2 linked regions of the Xenopus tropicalis genome follow. The main gene of each other region encodes a partner of the protein of the gene in region 2 in a complex. Links are inferred from orthologs where the notes say so. Each region holds a gene or a part of one and is shown on either strand. Other genes may lie near its edges. The genes, in order: dkc1 and nhp2.

Evidence for each region.
Region 1: nhp2 (region 2) and dkc1 share a complex: the UniProt entries of both Homo sapiens proteins name them as parts of the H/ACA small nucleolar ribonucleoprotein (H/ACA snoRNP) complex. The link is inferred for Xenopus tropicalis from reciprocal best matches to the Homo sapiens genes NHP2 and DKC1.

What each region holds. Positions count from the first base shown.
Region 1 is NC_030684.2:38,918,868-38,923,206, reverse strand, and holds the start of dkc1 (H/ACA ribonucleoprotein complex subunit DKC1), read right to left. Parts: upstream 3,108-4,339; 5' UTR 3,013-3,107; coding exon 2,997-3,012; intron 2,881-2,996; coding exon 2,822-2,880; intron 1,440-2,821; coding exon 1,353-1,439; intron 1,064-1,352; coding exon 972-1,063; intron 614-971; coding exon 429-613; intron 1-428.
Region 2 is NC_030679.2:47,804,912-47,807,369, forward strand, and holds the end of nhp2 (H/ACA ribonucleoprotein complex subunit 2-like protein), read right to left. Parts: intron 1,157-2,458; coding exon 1,031-1,156; 3' UTR 593-1,030; downstream 1-592. UniProt on the Homo sapiens protein: Required for ribosome biogenesis and telomere maintenance. Part of the H/ACA small nucleolar ribonucleoprotein (H/ACA snoRNP) complex, which catalyzes pseudouridylation of rRNA.

The sequences.
Region 1 (4,339 bases), on a different chromosome or scaffold from region 2:
CTAACCTGACTCTATACTGAAGCAGTTATATCAGTAAATGTGCCAATGGTTTATGTTTCAACTATACATCACATGTTCAGCCATTACCTACAGAAAAAATCAACCATAGTCCTGCTGTATTATTAAAAGCCAGGAGTATGAGTAAGTTTCTTCTAAAGTTTGCTTTCAGCAACAGTAGACCAATAAATACATCCTGCCTACTTGTTGAAATATACCAGAACTGGTAATTAAAAAATTTAAGCAATACAATTTAAAATCCTACTCCTACTAGCCAAGAGCATTTCTCAAGAGAATTTGCATGGCCCAATTTGGTTTTCTTTGGACCATCAGTCCCTGTGCATGCCGTGTACAGTACATCTTTGAAATAAGCAAGTCTCTTCATCTTAACATAAGGTGTAATTTATATCTTGTTTCAGGACGGGACTCACCTGCACTCTGTTGCGACTTTACAAGTCGTGTTGCGCGATCAATGCAGACAATCAAACAGCCTGTTACTTTCGGATCCAGGGTCCCACTGTGACCAGTTTTCTCCGATCTTAAAATACGCCTTATCCATGCTACAACCTCATGTGATGAAGGATTAGCAGGTTTATCCAAGTTAATAAACCCTGTTCTGAGAGAGAATAAATGACTGTGGAAGCAATACCTACACCTTATCCAAGCAGGTACTGAAATTATAAAGTATAAAAAAACAAACAAAAACCACACACTATTCAGGCTGATGTTTATAACCTATTAGCATATATATTATTCCATAGAGATTTGTATTAGAGAATATTTGAAGTGGTGTCCTTCTATGACACCACCTCCAGATTGCCGAAAGAAAAAGGACTACTAACTGGCTTTTTACATGCCTTACCAAGGCATGGAATTTGCTAGACAATGAGCAGTAAATAAAAATGATTCACTCTTAAACCCCAATAGCACTGTAAGCAAACAGTATGTTGATTGAAAAAACACCCTTGACTTACTTAATATATTCAGAAATCTCTCTTTTCAGTGGGTTGGAACCAGATGGAATAGGAGTGTAATGAGCTGTTCGGATGTTTAATTTATCAAAGTTCTAAGGGAAAGAACAAACATATTGATAAAGTATGGTATAAGCTTAACTCTAGCTAATGTAAATTTTATGTGCATAGCAGTAGGGGGATGTAGTATGATTGGGGTAAATATTTCTAGCACTGTAAAAGATATCACTGAAGAAACAGGGTTATTCATTAACACATTTATAAAGATCATATGCCACAAGTCTAAAAAGAAATGCAAAAACATACAACATATTGATACAGAGTGCCATGTCTCCAATTAATTTCCAATAAATATTGATAGCTTCATCCTTGCCACATACAGACCTTGAGAAGTAAAGGCCATTGAGATGTGTCTAGCTGAGCCACTTTAGATTCAGGTTTGATTAGAAAGTCTCCCTCATGTTGAATATCCTGCAAGAGGAGGAAAGGAGTTAATATGAGATTCCCGTATTATCTTAATTCATCAATGACATCATAGGAGATGCTCTATTAAGTGGACCAACCAACCTAGTACACTTTCTGCTGTTAATCCCTTGTTACATGGTACTAACACTTCAGCAAAAGGATAGTTCCATCAAGCACAGAGAAGCAATACACTATTGTCAGACCCCTGAAAAGTTTCCTTGGTTTTTATTTTGCATTACCTGGCCAAATGGAATCTTAATAATCTGCACCTTTCATACACTGTTTTGTTAAATAACTGCATTATTAAGCAATACCCATGTCCGTAACAGAGTGGCCAGTGCCTGTTGCAGCTTCCTCAATGCCTGTTGCAGCTGCCGCAAATATTTGAGACTGTGTACCAACTGCCCTTAGAGGGCAAGGAAGCCACACCTACATTTTTTTTTTTAAACACGTGTTGCCCCCTTGATGCTGTTAAAAAGGAAGGATTTTTTAAGTGTTCTCCCACTGACTGCCTCCTTGTTCTATAAATGGGTTGAAAATCTAGAAGAACAGGGCTGGCAGCCACTATGACCAGCCACATTACTTCTGGTGTGCAGGCTCTGCATTACCGATTTCTGTTCACTGGAAAACAGGACCAGAGCAGCTTCCAGTGCAAATTCTCCTCCACATTTAACCTGAGGGACACTTGCACAATGAATATGGCATGGCTGTCCCTAACCCTTCAACACTACTCTGCATTCTAATGGGAAAACTGGGCAAATGATGAAGGGGCACTTAATATAGTTGGAGGGGTAATTGAGTAATTTATAAAAGAGGCATCTGTGCATTTCATTGCCCTTTAACACTCCACACTTTTGGTCACATTTGCACCAAAGACAGCTTATTTCATTGGTTGAAACCACTAGGTTTTTTCAGACAACTCCCTTATAAAAGTAGGGGTCCACAGACCATAGGATTTGTCCAAGACCTAACTGCCAACCCACATCAGAGGCCTCCAACTCTTAGGACTTTGAAACTCGTGTAAAACTTTATTTTCCCTCAACTTTCAATCCCCAAATTAAGGTTCAGATTCAATACGTGGCATTTCTAATTGAAGGGCCCCCCTCAGATAAATGTAGCAAAACAGCCAGGATCAAAATAAAGAAGTTGCCATTAAATTGCCTCTTTCACATGGTGTTATTTCTGCGTTTTCTAAAGTTATCGCTTTCTATATTGCAATCCCGTATTTAATGGCGGCCAGTGTTGGCCATGCTTTGCAAGCCTTCCGCCTATGGGCCAGTACAGGAAATCAGAACCGACCCAGACAGACCTGCTCAGTGCGCATACAGAACCTCCCTGAATAACCATTGCACAGTATTACTATTTATTATATTAGAGGGGGGACTCACTGCCACGTCCTCTGCTCCGAGAATCTGACTGCGACGCTTTTTCGCCTTCTTTTTGGAACCTAAAAGTGAGAAAAAGCAAAATTAAAAACAAGGCAACGAAATGAAATGTGCAGCTACGGCGCTGGGCACATTCAAACTGCAAACTGCATGGAAGTCATCTGCAGAAACTGCTCACCCTCCCCGTCCGCCATGTCCTCTCTCTCTCCTGTAACACGCGGTGAGTGAGGCCGAATAGTGAGAGCACTAACCGGATATAGCACATGGGAGGAGCTACCCCTGGGGCGCCCGCCCCTTCCTGCTAGGGGCGCATCACATGGCACTGACCGACAGCCTATGGCATCTCTCTCTGTTACGTCTCTGCCACTTGTGTGGGGGAGGCCGCCTGTTAATGCGCCATGTTCAAAATGCGAAGAGCGTGTGTGCTTATTTGGTTTAGCTGGCTGTTCTTCGAATATAAAACATTCCGCAGCAGGGAATCATAGGGCAGATACACTTATAATAAATATGTGGCTGCGGGCAGTGTTTGGATGTTACAGAGGGTATTTGCGCTGATAGATAGCCCTTAGAGAGGGAACAGTGGGACAGGACAAGCAACACGTGTACAGACACACAGTCTTATTCTCTTTACCTATCAGGGATGTGAAGCCAACAACCCCGACTTGCAGCGCTGGGCTCCTCAGTTTGATTCCAGCCTGACTACTATACTATTTCATATAGCGATCTGTTAGAAACAGTAGCAGAAGCTTTATGTTTTAATATATGAAATCAACAGACCTGATCCTGTGTACTACATATATCCTGATAAAATGTAATTGGATTTGCTTCAATCTATATAGAGAGAGAGCTCAACCCCCTTATTACCTGTGAAGGTGTCAGGTACTAGTACTGAAAGACCCTGGCCAACTGGGTCACTCTTAATGCACAGAGGAATTTTAGTAGCTTACTGAGATTGTACCACAACCATTTCTCTTCTGTGTAATTAGCAGCAAACATAATGCCCCAATCTAGGTTCTGAAATCCTGCCCTTGAGTATATTTGTGGTTTTTGCAACAAACTTTAAATACCATTATGGTCACTGTTACCCAGAGGTTCAACCAACTGTTTAGGGTCATTCAAGACCACTAGATCCAGTACAGCATAATTTCTGGTTGGCTCAACAAACTTTGACATAAATCTTCATGCAACAAGTTCATAAACTTGGTCCTATTCAGGGTTGGACTGGGCAACAGGAAATTCCCAGTGGGCCTAGTAAGCCCCTGCAGCCCAGACCCGACCCTTGCCGGCGCTCCCCGGCCGACTGTTCCTCCCCTGACGCATTAAATTTATGCGCGCTCGGGGAGGACGTCGGGTGGGGGACCCTGCGGGCGGTTAGGGGACATGGCCGGCCCTGCAACCCCCAGTCCGACACTGGTCCTATTATCTGTCCCTGGCAGTATTCCACCATGCGTTTTGTGTCCTTGTAAGGAATGTTTCAAACTTAACTCATTTTCTTCAGTAAATGTATTCAAGGTTCGAATA
Region 2 (2,458 bases):
TTGATAGCCTATGACTCCAAAGCAGTCCCCGATTGGCAATCTGTGGGTTCTGGCAGCTGCTGTAAGATGCCATATACAAATCATTATTTATTGAAATGCCAGGGCCTCTTTTGAAACACAGTCCAGATGTGCTCAAAATAATTTTCCTTGTGTAGAATTTAGCATTTTATTTGCTAGATATTTCATGACATTACCAGGGCAAAGTTTAGTTACCTAGAAAAATTTTATATCATTCTTTTTTTCAGAACAACATGGGCTTTTTAAATCTGCCTAAACATCATTTAATTGCACTTTAACAAGATTTTGATTGAAGTCAAACAGCTGTAGGGGCCAATTCCTGTTAACCCCGCTAAATGGCTACTAGGGGATATTTGCTGCATGTTTTCTTAGCCACCCACATGACGTGACAGCATGACCCATCAGCCAAATAAAGGGCCCTAATGGAAATGTGTCCTGAATAATAAAAAAAACCCACCAAAAAAAACCCAACATGCTTTATTTTCTTACCCTAAAACACTAATTGTTCACCTTGACCGCTCCCAGAATGAGCAGTTATCTTAAAGAGAGAATAGGCAGGAAAATAATCCATATATAACAAAAAATATTGGTCATTTATTTCGTAATATGTCTATATTCAAATTGAAAATTAACCTTCTTTGACCCATATCACTGTGCTATGGATATCTTGGGATACCAGGCAGGGGGACATAAATTTAGATCTGTACTCCAGCAAGTGTCAGTATCTGTTACAAAGAAGCTCCCCTTCCAAAATTAGGATCCATCTCCAAAAAACATTTCTTTAAAAAAATGGTGTTAACAGGCTCTGTTAATCAGTAAATGAACTGTAATTTCCTAACTGGCTCAGCCCTAGACAGAAGGGTTAGCTGACACATTACAGCAAACACTTTAATGTCCTCACAGTTTGTCTTTAGAGCTGCATGCAAAGTGTGTACGAAGAAATGTCTGGTACCATTTTCCTCACAGTATGCCAGAATGGTTAATGGAAAAGTATCCTCTAAAGTTGTCCAGATCAGTAGGGTAACGGAAGGGCTTGTACATCCTCTAGACATTCATCATATGCTTCCTGGTAATCCTCATGTGGTTTGATCAGTATCACACAGGTCGGGCGCTTGGAGCCAGCAGCTGCTCCTAGGTCCTGAAACAAGCGCAAATGTATCACCTTACACAAATATCAATACTATACTAGGATAGATGGCCAAGAATTAACTAATCATGTGTTAGAATTCAGAAATAGTTGAAGGCCTTAAAATAACAAGAAATTTGAAAAACTGGATATTTAGGCTACATTGGAGAGATGTCTTTAAAGTGACAACTGGCAGGGCATGGCTTCTCACTGACTAAACACTAAATATCAGATGTATATGGAAAAATAAAAATAAGCCAATTTAAGCTTGTTATAGAATAGAACATTACAAAATACAGGATCAAACCTTGGAGCATCTCACAATCATTTTTGTTACATTCTAATGTATTGTGTCTTTAACTAAAAACCTTGTCTATTTAAAATCTGTACTTTACTTAATTTCATATGCTAATGTGAAATGCCAGCATTTTTCTGGCAAAAGCAAACCCAACCCTTCCTAAACTGCCTACCAAAGCACCCATTGACTATAATAGCAGCAGATCAGAAGCGTGGTAGCACTTTCCATCCAAAAATGTTACGTTTGTGAGCAGTTTTTCACTGGAAAACAGACACTTTCACTTCCCACTAAAATTAATGGAAGCCAAAGGACATTGTCACCAGTGTTTCTATGTCTGCAGATATGTGTAATGCTTAACATTAGCATTCTATGTAGTGCTGCCTCTTGTTATACACAATGACTGGTTCCAGGAATATTTGACTGAGATTCTCAATAAATCACTCAGGTGGCAAAACACCTACAATGGTTTATGTGCCATTCCCTTACACAGTAAATGTTTGCTAGAAGTTTCTAACCAAGAAGAGTATTATGCACAATTGAGTAGGACTTTGTATAGGAGAATTTGTTTTTGCAATTTTGTTTTTAGAAGATCTGTCTATAAGTATTAGTTGTATGACAAAGGACTAAAGTAAAGAAATCACACTCATTTTGCAGTGACTAGATCTGGTAAATATAAGATGTTAGAAGACACCAGTAGTTTAAAGGCCCATTAGGATAGATTTGTGAAGAATCCCTATTTTTCTCCAATAGTACAGGTATGGGACCCATTATACAGAATGCTCAGGACCTGGGGGTTCTTGGATAAGGGATCTTTCCGTAATTTGGATCTCCATACCTTAAGTGTACTAAAAGATTATTTACTGTATATACTCGAGTATAAGCCAATCCGAATATAAGCCGAGGTACCTAATTTTACCTAAGAAACCTGGAAAAACTTATTGACTCGAGTATAAGCCTAGGGTGGGAAATGCAGCAGCTACTGCTAAGTTTTTTTTTTTTTTTTTTTTTTAACAGTC